Linked DNA regions of Daphnia pulex. The protein of the gene in region 1 binds, or shares a complex with, the protein of each later gene. Links are inferred from orthologs where the notes say so. Each region holds a gene or a part of one and is shown in the gene's direction. Other genes may lie near its edges.

Region 1 (5,097 bases):
CAGACACCGGTGCTGCTGTCTATTAAACCGTCTACCTGCCGTTTAGAGCGCGCACCTATATGGGGAGAGAGAGAGGTGCGGCCGAGAGTCAAGGCAACTCACATCCTTCATCCCCTCCCCCTATCTTGTGTGTGTATACATAGTAAATACAAGAGTTGATCAGACATCTCTACAGCAATATGCTGCCCCGTCTATTTCTAGATTTGTAGGGTCGTTGAAACCTGAAACTTTTTCGTCCTTGACTCTCGTCCGTACCTCGCCGAGCCGAGAGGTGAAAATGGAGGAGGAAAAGTGGGCCATAAAAAGCAGCTTAAGCTTAAGGTATGACAAGAAATAAAAAAAGGTACTACAAGGCGCTCATCCGGCGAGTTGTTGCCGGTGAACAACGAAGAGAGAGCCACTATACCAGCCAGCCAGCACAGGACAAAGACATTCGAGACCAAAAGTGGTCGCTCGGTCGCCCTAATGCAGGTCTCTGCTGGTCTGTTGCACGGATGGTGATCTAGGTGAAGGGCAAGACAAACAAGAAATGGAAATGGAAATAACACAGCAGCGACGATGGAGAGAGGCGAAATCACTCTCGCTTTCTAAAAATCTAAGGGCGACTCTACTACTATTTCTCTCTCTTATTCTTTCATATATAGGTTCTCTTTTCTTTCTATTAGCCCGCGTGGTGTGTTTCTCTTTTCAAACTTCTTTTTCCCTTTTTCACCGAATATACTATGTTGTGTTATGTCATCGCAAAACTAACAGCCCCGCCAGCAGCTTTTTCTTTCCTGTGATTACTCAACAAATGGAAGGGAAAAAGAGTCGCGCGCGTGGTGGGGAAAACTGGCCAACTTTTTGATTAAATACACACACGCTCTTTCATTATTATTATTATGATTACTATGATTTCCATTGTTCCATATCTCTCTTTTTTTTTCCTGCCTTTCCATTCGACCAGATTTTCTACTGCCCGTATAGTGTGTGCTGTATTAACTGCTGCGGAAGAAAAATGTTGACAGGGTTTCCACAACTTTCCCCGCGCTGTAATAATTGAAGGATGTCGCAAGGACTTTCGGGGGGCTGTCCTTATTTCCAATCTTTTCAGCTCAAATACCATCGGGACTATAAGCGATATATTCCGTTGGCAGCATTTATCTCTGCAATAAAGGCACGAGATCAAGGTATTTCATATTGTCGGTGCATAATATAATGGGAAAGGGGATAAACTATATCGCAACTTGCCGACCAACGGTCGAGGCGAACCGGTATACAGCCAATGACAAATGAACGGCCAAATCTGTGGAATTTGCGCACGAATGAATCATTCATGGCTCGCCGTCTGGACAAAAGAAAAAAGAAAATAAGAAACGGATTGAGGACAGCTTGTCCGTGACTCGGATCGATAATATAATGGCGAAACAAATCCAAGTCAAAACAAACGTATACATATAATTCTTTTAGACGAAGGTAGGTTACTAATTCGGGCTATAGTCATTGCTATTGTTATGGCTATACTTGCAATTCATCGAATTAATAATAAGCTATTTGACTACATTTTATGAATGGCTGTAATTCCCATTTTGCGACAATTAAAATAGCATATCGTAAATTTCTTGATTGGGACTCTATCCCAGACCAAAGTTTGTTAAATAGACAATTCATTGAAATTATCAAATCCAAATTAATTTCTTAGATTAAGAACATAGGTGTAATTTAACTATAAGGTTAATAAAACCTCTAAAAGACAATGTTGTCCAACTTGGCAGCTTTACTTTCTTTGATTTTTCAAATTTCGCACGAAACTCTCTAGTTTTAAAAGTGAGCTCTAGATGGCTCTTGAAACAAACAAACTTGTGACAGAAGAAGCTGATCGGTTTACAATTTGGAAATTCTTAAAAATTGTTTCTGAAAATGTCTATTGAAATTGAATCAGCCGAGTAATTACAAACATACATTTTAAAACATTGAGTTCCTAATGTAACATGCATTTCCTTAATCTTCTAGCGTTATTCGTCTCATCCAGCAGTTCTTGAAAGAGTCTAACTTGATGAGGACCCTCCAAGTGCTCCAGGTACCATGCCGGTTTTTGTTTTCTTACTCAATGTAGCCGAAAACAATATTCATTAAACAAATCTTTATCTTCCTCATTATGTAGGATGAAACAGGCATTTCTCTCAACACTGTCGATTCAGTTGAATCATTTGCAGATGACATTCTCAGTGGCCATTGGGATACAGTTTTAAAAGCAACACAATCTCTTAAACTTCCAGACAAGAAATTAATTGACCTTTATGAACAGGTATCAATCACTCATCAAGAATCTTTGCAAATTCTAGAGTCATAATAATAACGGGTAACAAATTGCTAGGTCGTTTTAGAATTGATAGAGCTCCGTGAGTTGGGGGCAGCCAGATCACTGCTGCGTCAGACAGATCCTATGGCCCTTATGAAACAGCAAGAACCTGATCGATATTTAAATCTAGGTCAGTTCTTCTTCTTTAGTCAACCCACCATCAGTAATTGATGAATTTCTTTTTGTTCGTCTTCCATAGAAAACCTGCTGGCTAGGTCTTATTTTGACACCAGGGAAGCATATCCCGAAGGAAGCAGTAAAGAAAAACGGAGAGCAGCCATTGCTCAAGCTCTGAGTGGAGAAGTGTCCGTGGTACCACCATCTCGTCTACTCGCTCTACTCGGGCAATCTTTGAAATGGCAACAGCATCAAGGACTTTTGCCTCCCGGTACCAGTATCGATCTTTTCAGAGGTAAAGCTGCCATCAAAGAACAAGAAGAGGAACAGCCACCTACTCAGTTGACTAAACACATCAAATTCGGACAAAAGTCTCACGTCGAATGCGCAAAATTCTCACCTGACGGACAGTATCTGGTCACCGGCTCTGTTGACGGCTTTATTGAAGTTTGGAATTTTACCACCGGAAAGATTCGTAAAGATCTCAAATACCAAGCTCAGGTAATCAAGAAATGTACCCTTCAATTTCAAATCACTGTAACATATTTTTGTTTTTATCTCCAGGACAATTTCATGATGATGGAAGATGCTATTCTCTGCCTAACCTTTAGTCGTGACTCTGAAATGCTTGCTAGTGGCTCTCAAGATGGCAAAATCAAAGTTTGGAAAATTCAGACTGGCCAGTGCCTACGCAAATTTGAGAAAGCCCATAGCAAAGGTGTGACCAGTATGCAGTTTTCCAAAGATAACAGCCAGCTATTGACAGGATCGTTCGACATGTCCGTCAGGTAAAGGCAATTGTTCCCATCTTTTTGTGAAAAATAATCGACGATCTTTGCTGATTCTTAAACTTTTATTTGCAGAGTCCACGGTTTAAAATCGGGCAAGACTCTGAAAGAATTCCGTGGCCACACTTCCTTCGTCAACGAAGCCATTTTCACAGCCGATGGTCATCACGTGTTGAGTGCTTCCTGTGACGGCAGTGTCAAAGTCTGGAGTATGAAATCGGGCGAGTGCGTCTCCACGTACAAATCGCTGGGCGGTTCATCAGGCGGTGACTTGACGATTCACACCATCACCCTCCTACCCAAGAACCCAGAGCAGTTTATCGTCAGCAATAAGAGCAGTACTGTAGTTATCATGAATATGCAGGGACAGGTAAGAGAAATATCTAAACGTTAATCGCCTAACGCTAAAATAATCCATTTCGTTCTTTATTAAAAAATACGCGTAGATTGTCAGATCATTCACCAGCGGTAAGCGTGATGGTGGTGACTTTGTTTGCTGTACCCTATCACCTAAAGGCGAATGGATTTATTGCATCGGTGAAGACATGGTGCTCTATTGTTTCTCCATCGCATCAGGCAAACTCGAAAAAACTTTAACGGTACTTTTTATTCTTTCTCGTAATTTCGCTGCTAGTTGTCGTTCTCATTTCTCCATTTCTGATTTAGGTCCACGAGAAAGAAGTCATAGGCATGAGTCACCACCCGCATCAAAATCTCCTATGTACCTACAGTGAAGACGGATTTCTGAGAATGTGGCGACCTTAAACTTTGATGACGAATCTATTTTGAACGAGGAAAAATACAGGTGTCGTTTTGTGAAGCTAGAAATGACTCTTCGATTTTCACAGCAAAGAGTCAACAGATTGGAGTTGAAACAACATGATGGTGAAACACAAGGCATAAATTTCATTCATAATTTTGTGCTGCTTCTCTTGGTTCCTGACTCTTTCGTTGTTAGCCCGTATTTCCACTTAAGGTGTTTTCATCTTTCCCGTCGCTTGTAAGGTCGCTGAGGTAGAATGATGAGTTGGACCTTGAGCGTGTCACGCTTGGGCCCAACCAGGAAAGGCGATGGTGGACTATTTGGCTGTGGCCGATCACAATCGAACCGATCCGGATTGATGTCCGAGTATGTCAGTAAGTTGTCATATCGCAGCACTGGTTCTTCCTGCGAGAAGATGAAATTCCGGACCGTTGTGCTTCGCACATGTTCAACTCCGCCGTGTACACCGTAAACCAGTACAGCTACACGGACGTGAGCTTCAATAGGGTCCTGCATCAACAAAAGTTCAACAATTCAGAATGGCGCTTCAATCAAATTAAAAAAAAAAAAAAAAAAGATTAACGATGAAACGACCTTCAGCATGAGTGACAGTCTTACTGTACGCAAAACTGTTTCTGGAACTTCGATATTTCCTTGCCAGACAATTAGACAGCAAGGCCGAAACCACACTCCTGTCACACAGTCAAAAAGGTATGTAAATTGAAATTGGGCTATCAGGGTATGAATGTTATTCTACCTTTGGGAGAGAACTCGATAACCCACTCATAGGCGTCTGTTTCAAAGTCGGCACAAGAAGCCGGCGAAGAGAGCAACAGAGTTCTCGTGTGGTACGCCGGTAATGAGGGGAAATTCTCCAGTGTTATGTGAGTGCCCCATTTTTCGGAAGTGTAAAGACGCGGTGTGAACAACTGGGAATCGGGATTGTTCTGTTGCAACAGTGCTTCTGTGAATTCTTCCCTTTGCCCTATTAAGACGTAATTGATTACTGGAATGGAAAAATCAATCGTCAACTAAACGTTTGTGGTTCCTTTTACCTGAATGAAATGCCATTGCAATGGCCATGCGTT
Region 2 (5,347 bases), on another chromosome or scaffold:
ATAGTCTTAGTTATTTGTTTCCTAAATCTTTCCTCTACGCCCCACGACCTTGTTGAATTTTGTTATACACAGCACTTGAACGAATGATTCATTACGATTTGTGATTAGATGTTAACCACGTTAGTCCTTCATACAAGCCGTCGCCTGTTGTGGCACATGCTGGCTGGACGTACCAGTTCCGATCACGAATACGAGTCAGCCCCAGTTTTTCTTGAATTTCGTGTGGTTTCATGGCTGTCAACATGAAAATGTCGTGAATAAATTGGGGTTCCACAGTCTCAATTATAATAATTGTAAAATACTCACCATCCTGGAGGTCTTGTTTATTTGCAAATATAAGGATGATGGCATCACGCATCTCACGATCGTTTATGATCCTATGAAGTTCTTGTCTAGCTTCGTCAATTCGATCTCGATCTGCGCAGTCCACAACGAATATCAAACCTTGGGTACCAGTATAATAGTGTCGCCACAGTGGGCGGATCTTATCTTGGCCACCAACATCCTGCAGTAATGATTCATATTTTAGTGTTGGGTTTAGAAATTTGATGGGTGAGGTCAAAAGGAACTAGCTTACCCAAACATTGAATTTGACATTTTTATATGTTACAGTTTCAACATTGAATCCAACGGTGGGAATTGTTGTGACTGACTGTCCTAATTTCAGCTTGTATAGAATTGCTATTTTGAAAAACAAAAATAATAAGTATAACTTGGAAAAAAACCAATGCTATCAGACAACACATAAAATTCTTTATCTCACTTGTTTTTCCAGCTGCATCCAGCCCCAGCATGAGTATCCTCATTTCCTTGTTTCCGAATATTTTGGACAGTATTTTCCCCATTCTCCTAATCAGCTCACTAACAAGCTGTTTTACAAGAAAAGAACTTTATTTCAAGCAACAAAATGACCCTGTCAGCCACAGCCATATAGTTTATCCACATCTGTAGAACTGAAGTGTCAAACTAGTTTGGTAACTTTTCAGTGACATTTGTGGCAAAAGTTGTTATCAGAAAAAAATAAACAGACTTTGCTCAGTCATTTACAGCATACTAGCTAACATACTATTATCAGATCAGGTTTTCCACTTACTTTAATGTAGACTCAACAATGACGTTTACTGGAATTTTAGCTGTAATATGGAAGTATTTTCGAAGGCATTCCTATGAACCGGAGTCGTTATTTGCACAAACACTATTTTGTTTTTGATGTGAGCACTAAGAAATCGATGGAAGGCGTTGGAAACAGGCGAAAATAAATAGTTTCTTTGCTTCTTCAGATAAAAAGGCACCTGTCACTTCAGTTAGCCGCCCAAACACCCGACCCGGTCTTCCCGATATCTTTGCAAGTCTTCAGAAGATCCAAAAAACTCGGGCCTTCCAATGTAATGAACAGACAGAATAGTACTCCTTGCATCTCACCAGATGGCTTTTTTTTCCTTCTTCCAATTTTGGTGACGGCGGCGTCTGAAAACAACTAGCTATTTCAGACTTTAACACATTCCACTCAACTAATCAATTATTTCTATTATTACACTTATTCAAGTGGAATAACGAGAGGAATGACATACACACACCAGTGTAATTGAGCAGATGGAATTCCAACACTGACAGCCAGTGTCCCCTTTTCTGCCCACCTTCTGATCCGCCCACCCAAGCTTCGATTTGATTCGATTTCAAAACCATTCCCTAACCGTCAACGTGTTCCCTCCCACATCTTTAAAATGTATTATTGAAACAACGAGTGATAAATTATTTTATTATAATTTTTAATGCAGGATTCATTGGTTCGAAAGGGGAAAATTTATTTAGCAGTTTCTAACATTTCTAAAAATTTGATCGGCAATACGGCAAGTGTTTAGTAGCGACGTCTATAATTTCAATTTAAGTAGCGGTCTCTGGCGTCAAGATTACGAAAGAAAAGTTGAAATTCATGAACACATTTTTCTTTTTAGGTTGCCGGAAGTCGACAAAATGCCTCAAGCCGGATCCCTATCTCCTCCCTTAACCCCCCGCAGCAACAGCTAACAGGTTGTCTCGGCTATCAAAGTGCATTTAAGGAAGCTGAATTACTCATTTTACAACTGAAACATTTCACCATGTAAGCCGCTAGCCGTAGTCTTTTGTTTTTTTTCCAAAAGAAGCATATTCACCATAAATATGTTCATGGTTTGTACATAGTGTTTCTATACAGTCACCGCCACCATGTTATGACGTTTTTTTGATGGATTGTTATTTCTTGTTGTTGCTTTTCGGACACATGTGTACTTGACTACTCAAAAGATTTGCTTTTCTCCCACAATACTTATTACTGGTTAGGTATTTTTCTATAAATAAGCACACTAGTGCTTGTTGCCTGGAAAGATTTATTTTAGCTCCTTTCTTTTATTACAGTACAAAACAGTTATTTATTAAGAAATAAAATGGAGACATCGAAGTAGAATTTCGAAACCGCACATTATTATGCTATGACGATAAAAAAAAAGCGGTAGAACCACCAAAAATATTCGGTTAAACTTTCGAGCGGATATATTTAGTGGAATATAGCGTGAGGTAAATTTTGAAGTGTGTGTCTAATCGATGTCCTTGAGTTCAATATCTTCGACGATCCGGTGAAAACTGCACGAAGTCATGCGGAGCTTTGAATACTTTGGTGTTTCGAAACAGTTGATAATAAGCTGAAACTCGTAAAACCACCGCCATTGCGATCAAATAGTGCGATGTGTAAAATCTAGCTACGACATAAGTAATTTCCTACAAAGTAAGTAGTAAGTAGGTAGTTGCTATATACAATAAATGAGTGATTTATTGTAACGTCATAATGAGGTCCAAATTCCTAAATTCCGACATTAATTTTCTCAGATTTATTTCGTGATTCTTAGGCACTTCAAGGTAAACGAGATTCCTCACGGTTGCCAATCCCTGGATAGAACTTGGCGAAAGGTCTCCATGGATTTTGGTCACGGCCTCTTTATCCTGATCCTGCTATCAGCTAATAAAACTCAGATAAAACTATCGTGTTTGCATTGTGTTGCCTAGAAGCAGCATAATCAGATTTTCAGTGGATTACAGCAACATCAATTGCTGGGTACTGGTCACAGTCTGCAATAACATGTCATACAATATTACGTGCCATAGGAGACGGCAAAAGTCACGTCATTCTTTATTTCAATTTAAGTTCTTAGATGGCGCAGTAGTCGTCTTCAATTTCATTCGCCAACAGAGGACTCTGCACTCTGGTGATCCGATGAGTGGCCCACTGGCCCTGAATAGAGTATGCAATGGCAACGAAAAAAACATTGAGTGAAAATTCAGACAACAAACGCGTGTATATGGTCGTTCCGTATTAAGATTAAGACAATTTTTTGTGAAAATGTCGTCATCCAAAGTGGTCCCTATCCTTTCAACCGCGGGTGCTATCCCTGTGAAAAATGACAAAGGGGAGATATCTATGCAAAAAGTTAAAGTCAATCGTTACGTATCAGGCAAACGACCAGACTACGCTACTACACATTCATCTTCAGATGATAGTGATGAAGAAGAGTTTATCAGACCAAGAAAGCAGGCAAGAGGAAGACCAGTAGAAGAAAGGTATTAAATTATTGATTGTAGATATGTATTTATATGCTTGTATATTTAAAAAATTTGATTAAATTGTAGTCCTGAAAAAGAATGGGACGAAACCCCAGATCTTCCACTTACTGCTCACAGTGACAGAAGATTAAAACGTCTTTTAAATCGTGAAGTTGACGACCATAGAATTGAAAGGCATCGTCATATCCATGAGCCTGAAATTATTGGAACAGAAGAAGATGAAGTAACACCTCATTTAGAAAGTGAAGAAGTAAGTTTTAGCAAAAATGCCCGAAGATGGGAATCAAGTGAAGAAGAGGATGAGGCAGAAGATCTTGATGAAGATGACATTGAGCGCAGAAGAATGATTGCACGTCAGAAGGCTGTTATTAAACAGCAAGAAGAAGTAAGTTAATATACTTTGTAGTATGATCATTGATCAATTCAATTCAATTGCAAATTTTGTTGTAGGAGTTGTTGGCAAGAGAGGAGGAGAAGGAAAGTGAGGAAGATGAAGATGACGAAGCTTCAGAATATGAAGAATATACAGGTTTGAAATAAAAGTCCCTTGATGTGAACAAGACTCTAAATCTGTTGTGTTTTTTATCCTAGATTCTGAGGAAGAAACGGGTCCAAGACTGAAGCCCATCTTCGTTAGCAAGAAAGAACGTATAACCATAGCTGAGAAGGAAAAGGAATTGCAAAAACAAAAGCTTATGGAACTTGAAGCTAAAAAGCTTGCCGAAGAACGTCGCCGCTATACCTTAAAGGTAAACCATTTTTAAATTTATACACTTTTTGAACTAAAAAAGCATTAAAAATCTATTAAACAGGTTGTTGAAGAAGAAGTCAGAAAAGAAATGCAAGCCAAAGACGAAAAAGACCTTGAATCAGGAATCTTGTCGGTGTTGACGGATGCCGAGGATGAAGAACTCGAATACGAGACCTGGAAATTACGTGAACTTAAACGCAATAAGCGTGACCGAGATGAAAGAGAGGCAGAAGAAAGAGAACGACAAGAAATTGAACGTATCCGTAATATGACCGAAGAAGAACGGCGACTGGAATTCAAGAACAATCCAAAGGAAGTCACAAACAAGGCACCAAAGGGCAAATATAAGTTCCTACAGAAATACTATCATCGCGGTGCCTTTTACCTCGTAAGTTCAGCTTTTAAAGATATTTGGGATTTTAAAAATAATTTAAACTCTTACTCTAACAGGACGAAGACAAGGAAGTTTTCAAACGCGATTTTGCTGTGCCAACTCTTGAAGATCACTTCGATAAGACTGTTCTGCCTAAAGTGATGCAAGTTAAGAATTTCGGTCGCAGTGGTCGAACCAAATACACACATTTGGTGGATCAAGATACATCACAAGCCGACGCACCGTGGGCCACGCATACTGCTCAGAATTTGAAATTCTACACACAGCATGCTGGTGGAGTAAAACAAGTGTTCGAAAGGCCTGCTTTGAAGAAGAACAATAACTCGGGTACTTGAGTTGTGGCACTGTTTTTATATTTGAAATTGAATTTTGTAACAATGTCTCATCTTTGTGGTTGATACATGCAAACCATCAATCGTACGTGAATTAAACATGTTTCCAGACATTCAATGTATCTAAAGGAAGGGGTAATCTTTTTTTTTCAGTCACTGCTTGTAGTAAAATTTTAAATCTTAGATTACCCTATACTTAGTAGTTCTCTTCTCTGCTGGTCTTTGTCTTTCTGGTCCTGGCTCCTTCTGGGCTGAGAAAACTTTTTTCGCACCCGC
Region 3 (4,410 bases), on another chromosome or scaffold:
AAGTGATTCTCAGTGCACTTCATGCTATCCTGATTCACAGCTCAAGTTTGTTTCTATACCAGGTACTGATGGTTAGACCTATGTTTGAAAAATCTATTAACAAATGTTGTTTCACCGTAGGATCCCAAATAGAACCAGAATCGCACTGTTATCCGCATGAACTCGTAAAGCAATTAACGGGCTACGAAAACTGGTCCGTGGGTGTCGAACTGGCTCTGGCGTTTAATTTAGCACTCGTGATGGCTTTAACGATTTACATGATGTGCACTAAAAAGAGTTTCAGTTCTTCTTTTGTTTTAAACTGTTGTAGCGGCAGCAACGAACGGGAAACGAACCACAGGCAAGGTGACTACGATCTGTTGACACAAACAAGCGCAAATCTTCCTCCACCTATTGGCGCCGAAAAATCAGTTTAAAGAGTAAAAGTTCTAAAGTCAACATTGTTTAGAAGATAAAATGTCAGTTTTTAATATTTATAAAATGTAAAGATTATATTTGTAAAAAGGTTCTATAAATATTTGAATGAGCGGTTTGCCAGATTCTGTAATAAATTACATTCTAACGGATACCATATTGATTGTCGTCGTCAGTCATTGTAAAAACTGGTAAAAACCGTGTTTGCTATAGAAGGCCTAATGCATATAAAACAAATAATTAAATGAGCTTGGTAAATGTATAGTGAAATAAATTTGCAGCAATCACAAGTTGTGTTAAGATTAAAGTTTTCACTAAAATATATGATTCAAATATAAAGGTAAGAACAAAGCCTACTAAATTAAAATCATACCTGAAAAAATGTTTATACATCACATCACAATAAAAAAATATGCATAAGGATTCTATAATATTAGAATAAAAAAGGTTATAAAAAATGATTTTTATTAGTTATCCCTATATGTACAATTTTTCAATTTGACTACAAAGATAAATTCCAGATAATTTCCATAACCTTAACTGTCGTTTTGGAGAAGGTTACATTTTATTTTCTTTTGACGGTTCTTGTTTTTTTGTTTCATGTTTCATTTCTTGGTCAAGTCGTTCTTTAGCTCTGTATACTTTAGATTGAAGGTAGAATGAACCACCTTTCGTCTTGTCATTAACTTGGAACAAGTGATCATAGTTCTTCTGCACCAACTCAGGTTCTAATTTATCCACATTCAAGATTTCTTTTGCTTCCTCAAGGGTCATGCCTGTCTACAGAATGAAAAAAAAAACATGTTAACTTTTTAAAATTTACTGATATTACATAACTTTTGTGTGTAACAAACAAACCTTGAAGTTAGCTTCTACACGTGATGCGCCGGCTTTCCCACCACCAGCTCTTTTGGCAGCTTCCTGGCTAGCTTGATATTCTTGTTTAAGAGCTCTAGCAAACGCTCGCCCAATAACCTGGCCCCCCATAACAATTATTTGGGCCAAATATTTTGCCATAACCGTGGCGAGATAGATTCAAAATGATTACGTGATGATTTACGTCTGTAGTAGTATCAAGGTAGTATACTGGAATGTTTAGCAGGCGAAAAACAAACGGAAAAGCTACAGAAAAAAATGAAGACTCTTCTCTCAGAACAGACAGGTCAGTTTAAAAAATTTAGTTTGAAAAATCTTAAATAACTTAAGTGATTGATTTGTTAAAAATATAAAAATATTTCATAAAAGTAAACTAAATAACGATAAAATTTTCTTTTCAATTGATGAATTGATCGCCCCACCCACTTGACCACTTGATGTCTCTGTCTGTCCGTAGCAGACGACGGATTCAAGCGTCGTTCTGTCGTTCCGTTGCTAATGCCGACAAAGTTTTACTTTTTATCAACACAGTTAAATTTCAATGATTATTCTTTTGACTGTACACATCTAGTGTTTTAGATTAATTCAAAATGGCTAATCGAACAATCAAAGAGGCAATTTCTGTTAAAGGAACAAATCCTCAATACTTGGTTGAAAAGATTATTAGAACTCGAATTTATGATTCAAAGTACTGGAAAGAAGAATGCTTTGCTTTGACAGGTATATTGAAAATTTTACTTGTGTTTTGATGCACTCATTTTATTTATGTATATGTATTTTTTTAGCTGAGTTGATGGTGGATAAGGCCATGGAATTAAGGTACATTGGTGGAATATTTGGTGGTAATGTTAAACCTACTCCATTTCTCTCACTTACACTAAAAATGCTTCAAATCCAACCAGAAAAGGACATTGTAGTGGAGTTTATAAAAAATGAAGATTTCAAGTAAGTTCTTTGACCAAAACAGACAAGTTATACAGGAAATCACCTAATATAATGTATCATTATAGATATGTCCGTGCCTTGGGAGCATTCTACATGAGACTTGTTGGAACATCTGTGGAAATCTATAAATATTTAGAACCACTTTACAATGATTACAGAAAAATTCGGTTTCAAAACAAGGAAGGAAGTAATAATAAAAATAAGATATTTTTAAAAAGAATACTGCAAATTAACATGTGGTTTTATTTAGATTTTGAGCTTCTTTACATGGATGATTTCATTGATAGTTTACTGAGAGAAGAGCGTTTTTGTGATGTTATCCTGCCCAGACTTCAGGTATAAATGTGAATTAGTATTCAACCTAAAAAATACTGATTAAATACGGTTTATTTTACTTTCAGAAACGTCAAATTCTGGAAGAAGCTAATGAAGTTGAGCCGAGAGTATCAGCTTTGGAAGAAGACTTGGAGGAAGAAGATTCAGAAAGTGAAGAAGAAGAGGGTGAAAGGAAAGGAGGTTCGTTGTCGCCCCCTCCTACTACATCGCGTTCAAAGCAGGACAGTGATCGAGAACGGGAACGTTCTCGTCGTAATAGGGATAAAGAACGTGAACGAGAGAGAAGTAGGGAAAGACGTGATCGACATAGAGACAGAAGTCGAAGTCGTGACAAAAGGAATCGCAGCCGTGAGCGTGACAGGGACCGCAGTCGTGAAAGAGAAAGGGATCGAAGTCGCCGCCAGCGAAGCCGCTCAGTCGAACGTTCGCGTGACTACAGAAGAGACCAAGACAGGGATCGTAGAGACCGCAAGGACCGCGGGAAAGATCGTGAATCAGAACGAGATCGAAGCAAAAGAGGCGAAGATCGTGACAAGTACAACAACAAAAAGAAAGATAGCAAAAAGAGTAGCAGTTCCAGTGCTGCCATCGATCCTGAAATTGCAGAAGCGAATGCCTTGCGAGCTAAGTTGGGGCTGGCTCCTTTGCGACCGTAATCTGCTGTCTTTTTTCTAATCGTTTTGTAATAAACACTCTTTTCATTTCCTTATTATTCCGAGGTCTATCTGATTCTTTATTCTTATTTCTTGTGTTGGATGTGCAGACTTCAACTTAGACAAGAACTTAGGATTCTTCCTAAGTGAGACGGTGTTCGTTATTGCAAATGTAAAAGAGTCAAAAACAAGGTAAGTATTAGCTGATCCCAACAGACATTTTAAACACAAATTTGTAGATCAATCATCATTTTGACACTACTATTTAATGTTGACCCCGTTTTCTGAATTCTTTGTAAAATGGCGAAAAAGTTTATATCTGTTCACGGATCCCGAAAAACTATTATTGCCCTCGGCGCGCAGTAATGACTTCATGATTGGCTGGTGCACCAGTATGAATTTATGGTGATTTTTATTTTTTGAGATAATTTTTCCAAAATTTCCTTTCGTTAAGAACTTACGAAGCATCAGCCGTTGCAAGAATAACAATCAGAAAAGGACTTGTTCCTCATTTGAAATTTTTCCTATTATTTTTCGTCACTTACAATTTTTCCTCAGTACCGTAGTTACTAGTTAGGCTAAAGATCTCGTAGTCTCGTCCTATAAGATAAAAGCTCAACACGGATTACGGTACTACGGCCTCGGAGATGCAGACGACACCAGCTTCCAATCCTTTTTAACGTGGTCTGACTAAAATTTAAATGATCTGTGATGTGTGGGATCTTCATGGTTTCTTTTCTTTTACTGGAACTGGACATCATTTTTCCAGCTATAAAATGTATTGCCATTAGATCACTCGTTGGCTAAAAACTATGTCCACTAGATGGTGTAAGTGTCTTTGATAGAATCGAAATTCCACCATTTTTTTTTCTAGACACTGAGAGAAGATGTAGATTGCAGATGTAGACAAAAAAAGACCGAACGCTACCTCAGAAAGTATCCTAGAAAATGAAGAGAGTTCTTCGAATCCTTTAGTTATCGAAAGGGGAATGTACACACCACATAATTTCTTCGAAGGCGGTGCAGTGGAGTAGTAGTTTCTCCAGGACGCTGTCTAGGCAAAGTACCGATGGTTCTCAGATAAACTTAATAGAGTTCCGACGGCCTGCCAGATCAGGTGCAAGCTGCAGAAACGGTGTATATATGGCTTGAAATCCGGTTTATTATTTATTGCAAAGTACCTTTT
Region 4 (5,135 bases), on another chromosome or scaffold:
GCATTGATTGCCTGCATAATTTCGGAAACGATTTCACGGTTTCCAATCGAGCGGACTATTAATCGCCGGATTCAAACACATTGGCTAATACCGTCGCGTTCGTCACTGTGACTATGTAGCTCTAAAAAATCCCTATTGAGGTTGATTTGTTTCTGTATAGTCAGAGAGGATAACCTTAATAAGATGGCATATGGAAAGTTAGAACTTGTTCTACTGTACATCAGATAAAAACCACGAATGCGCGTACATGGCTTATAGCGGTTGCAGCATGTTATATTACGGAACAAGGGGATTTCATACCGCGCCCAGCAGCGCCTTATCTCAACGCATTTATGACAGTGTAGAAAACTATAATCTCATGCTGTTCCCGACGACGACGAAAGTTGGCCCAAAACTACCGACTGCTGATATCGCGTATACAACAACAACAAGTCGACGATGTTAAATTCCAAACGTCGAAGAATTTCGCTGCGGCTATCTTTTGGAAGATGCTGCAATAAAGGCTGTTCCAAAGAATGCAAGGACAACATCAAATTCTTCGTTTTTTCTAGTTTCGTTTTTTTTCAAACCTCTAAACTTGTTCTTAATAGGAAACATCAAAAGTCAAGAGTTGATTTCCGACTGCAAGCCGTTCCACATTCCATCACTGGCGACAGAGGACGAGTTAATCGGTAAAGTTCGGGAACTCGATTGTTTCAGTCAATATGAATTGAATGACTCGAAATGAATTCAACGGTACATTATGAATTGAAAAAAAAAGATAAGTGCTTCAACACCCTTATTCGTTATTCCTTACCGCACCGCAAATAAAAATTTTTGAATAAGAAATTTTAAAAGATAGACAAGTTCGGGATGCTGAGTTGCACAACCGCAAAATTAGGATCGTGCGCCAACGAGTTTTTGTAACGTTGTGGGGATAGTAGAAAGCGGGTTTTTTATTATTTAAGCATAGAATTACTTATCTAATCTTAGAAATGTTCAGGATTATCGTTGTTTAGAACATTCTGCTTTTTATAGAGTAATTTTAAATGTATAATTCAGCTTAGTTTACCCATTAAAATTAAAGAAAGTCCAAGCCTGGGATGCTGTTTAGTCTTTTCTTGTGTTTTTTGACAGATCTGCTGACAAGTGACAAGCTCAAACACACAAGAAAAGACTAAACAGCATCCCAGGCTTGGACTTTCTTTAATTTGAATGGGTAAACTAAGCTGAATTATACATTTAAAATTACTCTATAAAAAGCAGAATGTTCTAAACAACGATAATCCTGAACATTTCTAAGATTAGATAAGTAATTCTATGCTTAAATAATAAAAAACCCGCTTTCTACTATCCCCACAACGTTACAAAAACTCGTTGGCGCACGATCCTAATTTTGCGGTTGTGCAACTCAGCATCCCGAACTTGTCTATTCAAAGCGTGGCTGCATGGTGGTTCTAGAGAGAAACTCGCGCGCATAGCAAGGGATCGGAATATGAACACGTCTTTTGAATTACTTTATGAGTAATAAAAACAGCTGTGAATAAATCATTCTTGATTATCACCACTGAAATTTTTTATTAATTTCACAATTTTATTGTATAATGCATTATGAAATCGTTCTATAAATAATAATAATAATTTAAAAAATCTTGTGATAAAGAAAGCGCAAATGCATTGAAAATGCTGTGTTTAGGGATAGACCAAGTAGAGAGTCGATGTCAGATGTTCAAAAATATTGCCTATCACACAATGCACGAGAAGTCGAACCCTAAACTCGAGCGCGACGCCGGAGCCAAGAGAGATTTCACTCAACCTTTGCTGAATTTTCCATCATGGAAAATCTGTAACATCCACAGGTAAATTCAAGTTTGACTACACATTTTAGTTCCAGATAGTTGAAAAGCAGTTATTTTGATGGTTAAATGTGTGTTTTTGGCGATGTTTAAAATATTGAAGCATGTCAATTTGAAAACCTTGCCGGGTGAGATGCCGGGGCTGTAGTTTCTTTCGCGTACTCGTCTAGCTATTAAAGAAAAGAAAACCCCTTACAACTTTACCGCCTTTCTGTGAATTAAGTTTGGTGGCTATACATGAGGGGGACATTAATTTTCAAATGGTGTGTAACATTGTCATTAAACATGTTGGACAAATGTAAGAATTATATCTGATAACATTTTCGCAGGTGATGCTCATCTAGGCAGTTCAAGTTACACATTGGACACGTCAACTTGAAAGAAAATGTATCTTTACAATCTGACTCTGCAGCGTGCCACTGGCATCATTCAGGCAGTCCAGGGCAACTTCAGTGGCACCAAGCAACAGGAGATTGTCATTGCTCGTGGAAAGGTACTCGAAATTGTGAAGCCGGATCCCAACACTGGCAAAGTACACACACTTCTCAGTCAAGAGGTTTTTGGAATCATCAGGTCAATCATTAGTTTCAGGCTTACTGGAGGAAATAAGGGTGAGTTGTGCAAATATAATTTTTAAAACATACATCCTGCTAACTTTCATTAATTCTGTATTTAGATTACCTTGTGGTCGGATCAGACTCTGGGCGAATTGTCATTCTTGAATACAATGCTGCCAAAAATGTGTTTGATAAGGTGCACCAAGAAACGTACGGCAAAAGCGGTTGTCGTCGGATTGTTCCTGGACAGTACATGGCAATTGATCCCAAAGGCAGAGCTGTTATGATCAGTAAGTTTTGATCCGTTTTTAATTTAAATTCTTGCAAGTGATGAGTTACGTTTTTATGTCTTCTTTCCCCATCTGAGAAAGATAATGCTGATATCTAACGTTTTTACTGAGAATTTTTTAAAATCGAAATCTTGTGGCTTGAGAGTGCGCATTGCTTTAACATTTATGTTTTTTTTTTGCATTGCAGGTGCTATTGAGAAGCAAAAACTGGTCTACATTCTGAACAGGGATGCCCAAGCCCATTTAACCATTTCTTCTCCGCTGGAGGCTCACAAGTCAAACACTCTAGTTTACAACATAGTGGGTGTTGACGTGGGATTTGAAAACCCTGTATTTGCTTGTTTGGAGATGGATTATGAAGAGGCCGATGGTGATCCAACAGGCGAGGCGGCACAGAAGACGCAACAAACGCTTACATTCTACGAACTCGATCTGGGTTTAAACCACGTCGTTAGGAAATATAGGTGCGTAACAAATCTTGGTGATTTTGGTTTTGCCTGGTTGGGTTTCAAAACCCCTTAACTTTACTGCTCTCTTGTCACTTAAAGATTGCAGCTATACATAAGGGGGACATTATCTATCATAGTGTGTAACATTGTTGACTTATGTGTGACAATGTAAGAAATATTTTGATGAACATATCTTTACTTTAATAGTGAGCCGTTGGATGAGCACGCCAATTTCCTCATCACTGTTCCTGGAGGAAACGACGGACCTTCCGGAGTTCTGGTTTGCTCCGAGAACTACATCACATATAAGAATTTGGGTGAACAGCATGACATTCGTTGCCCAATCCCCAGAAGAAGGGTACGTTTGATCATTTCATTATGTTATTTGGCGCGCGGTATCTCCAGCCGTGTTCTATACACGTGCTGGTCGACTAGTGCCTAAACTATACTTGGAGATGTTTGCATCGTTGGATTGTAATGCGCATATTGCATGCTGTCCTGGAACGAACCTCCGATAAGTTATTTATTCCATGTATTGAGGACGGTAGTAATAAGTTTTTTCTCTGTAGAATGACTTGGATGATCCGGAAAGGGGCATGATTTTCGTCTGCTCGGCTTCCCATCGCACCAAGGCCATGTTTTTCTTCCTTGTCCAAACGGAGCAGGGCGATATTTTCAAGATCACCATGGATATGGATGAAGAGGTGGTGAGAGAATTGAAAATCAAGTACTTTGATACCGTTCCAGTTTCGTCCAGCATGTGTGTGTTGAAGACAGGCTTTCTATTCGTCGCATCGGAATTTGGAAATCAGTTAGTTTTCTTAAATTTTTTTTTCTATTTGCTGAAATGATGTGTATTGTCATCCGTGTTTCACCTGAGATAACACTTTGATTATAATTTTTGACTCTGATTTCGGTTACAAAATTTGAAGTAGTTTTATGGGTTTTCAAGTGTATTAATTTTCCTTGTGTTATTAGTTATCTTTACCAGATTGCTCATTTGGGGGATGATGACGATGAACCCGAATTCAGCTCTACTATACCATTGGAGGAAGGAGATACTTTCTTCTTTGCTCCGAGACCTTTGAAGAATCTTGTTCTCGTGGACGAGATGGAGTCTTTATCTCCAGTTCTGGCCTGCCATATTGCTGATCTCGGTAGGTTTGATAATTCCTCCTGTTTTGAAAGGTTTTTAACATTTGTTTTCAATTTACAGCCAATGAGGATACACCCCAGTTGTATGCACTTTGTGGTAGAAGTTCTCGTTCGTCTCTTCGTGTTCTCCGTCATGGATTGGAAGTATCGGAGATGGCTGTTTCTGAACTTCCCGGTAACCCCAATGCAGTGTGGACTGTCAGAAAACGTGCCGACGGTAATTTTAATTTGTGTTGTGCTCAGCGGGCGTGTCACATTGTGCGCGCACGTGAGCGACTGGTGGTTGGACCATAGTTCAAACGCCAGTCTTTTTTACTGTTTTCAGGTTAGCCTTGATCTTCCCTGGAACCTAGTGGAGTAATGCTTCAGTTCACTTACTCAGCTGTACACTCCCTTTTTTTTATCTATCCCCCATGAGTCCTTTTCATTATTATGGAGGGGTTATTAAATTTCTTTTATTTTTCTTCACAGACGAGTTTGATGCTTACATTGTTGTGTCATTCGTGAATGCCACACTTGTGTTGTCCATCGGTGAAACTGTTGAAGAGGTGACAGACTCAGGGTTTTTGGGCACGACGCCTACTCTAGGGTGTTCCTCGCTGGGTGATAATGCATTGCTCCAGGTAATAAAATTTTGCAAAATACTCCTATCCAGTAATATCATAGACCATAACTATCTTAACAGGTTTATCCTGAAGGAATTCGACACATAAGGGCAGACAGAAGGATCAACGAATGGAAATCCCCTGGTAAACGAGCTATATCTCGGTGTGCAGTTAATCAGCGCCAGGTTGTCATTTCTCTAGCTGGCGGGGAATTGGTGTACTTCGAGATGGATCCGGTAAGTCC

The links.
Region 2: WD40 repeat-containing protein SMU1-like (region 1) and microfibrillar-associated protein 1-like share a complex: the UniProt entries of both Homo sapiens proteins name them as parts of the spliceosome B complex. The link is inferred for Daphnia pulex from reciprocal best matches to the Homo sapiens genes SMU1 and MFAP1.
Region 3: WD40 repeat-containing protein SMU1-like (region 1) and pre-mRNA-splicing factor 38A-like share a complex: the UniProt entries of both Homo sapiens proteins name them as parts of the spliceosome B complex. The link is inferred for Daphnia pulex from reciprocal best matches to the Homo sapiens genes SMU1 and PRPF38A.
Region 4: WD40 repeat-containing protein SMU1-like (region 1) and splicing factor 3B subunit 3-like share a complex: the UniProt entries of both Homo sapiens proteins name them as parts of the spliceosome B complex. The link is inferred for Daphnia pulex from reciprocal best matches to the Homo sapiens genes SMU1 and SF3B3.

What each region holds. Positions count from the first base shown.
Region 1 is NC_060024.1:13,654,427-13,659,523, forward strand, and holds WD40 repeat-containing protein SMU1-like, read left to right. Parts: upstream 1-1,776; 5' UTR 1,777-1,899; coding exon 1,900-1,925; intron 1,926-1,992; coding exon 1,993-2,059; intron 2,060-2,143; coding exon 2,144-2,287; intron 2,288-2,356; coding exon 2,357-2,471; intron 2,472-2,540; coding exon 2,541-2,959; intron 2,960-3,022; coding exon 3,023-3,246; intron 3,247-3,321; coding exon 3,322-3,616; intron 3,617-3,692; coding exon 3,693-3,845; intron 3,846-3,912; coding exon 3,913-4,011; 3' UTR 4,012-4,070; downstream 4,071-5,097. Other genes in the region: BTB/POZ domain-containing protein 17-like, read right to left, coding at 4,229-4,519, 4,604-4,701, 4,767-4,994, 5,065-5,097. UniProt on the Homo sapiens protein: Involved in pre-mRNA splicing as a component of the spliceosome. Regulates alternative splicing of the HSPG2 pre-mRNA. Required for normal accumulation of IK.
Region 2 is NC_060019.1:11,264,854-11,270,200, reverse strand, and holds microfibrillar-associated protein 1-like, read left to right. Parts: upstream 1-1,958; 5' UTR 1,959-2,101; exon of another isoform or gene 2,102-2,169; intron 2,170-2,882; 5' UTR 2,883-3,373; coding exon 3,374-3,591; intron 3,592-3,660; coding exon 3,661-3,979; intron 3,980-4,044; coding exon 4,045-4,123; intron 4,124-4,185; coding exon 4,186-4,343; intron 4,344-4,406; coding exon 4,407-4,733; intron 4,734-4,795; coding exon 4,796-5,074; 3' UTR 5,075-5,184; downstream 5,185-5,347. Other genes in the region: ADP-ribosylation factor 6, read right to left, coding at 92-234, 307-505, 578-681, 764-845. UniProt on the Homo sapiens protein: Involved in pre-mRNA splicing as a component of the spliceosome.
Region 3 is NC_060022.1:2,882,328-2,886,737, forward strand, and holds pre-mRNA-splicing factor 38A-like, read left to right. Parts: upstream 1-1,735; 5' UTR 1,736-1,880; coding exon 1,881-2,010; intron 2,011-2,075; coding exon 2,076-2,235; intron 2,236-2,300; coding exon 2,301-2,422; intron 2,423-2,458; exon of another isoform or gene 2,459-2,485; coding exon 2,486-2,571; exon of another isoform or gene 2,572-2,636; coding exon 2,637-3,227; 3' UTR 3,228-3,276; downstream 3,277-4,410. Other genes in the region: furin-like protease 1, read left to right, coding at 1-62, 121-416; mitochondrial import inner membrane translocase subunit Tim16-like, read right to left, coding at 973-1,194, 1,273-1,431. UniProt on the Homo sapiens protein: Involved in pre-mRNA splicing as a component of the spliceosome.
Region 4 is NC_060019.1:9,348,206-9,353,340, forward strand, and holds the start of splicing factor 3B subunit 3-like, read left to right. Parts: upstream 1-1,683; 5' UTR 1,684-1,838; intron 1,839-2,164; 5' UTR 2,165-2,220; coding exon 2,221-2,446; intron 2,447-2,511; coding exon 2,512-2,682; intron 2,683-2,869; coding exon 2,870-3,146; intron 3,147-3,338; coding exon 3,339-3,489; intron 3,490-3,700; coding exon 3,701-3,942; intron 3,943-4,109; coding exon 4,110-4,288; intron 4,289-4,347; coding exon 4,348-4,503; intron 4,504-4,757; coding exon 4,758-4,909; intron 4,910-4,971; coding exon 4,972-5,127; intron 5,128-5,135. UniProt on the Homo sapiens protein: Component of the 17S U2 SnRNP complex of the spliceosome, a large ribonucleoprotein complex that removes introns from transcribed pre-mRNAs.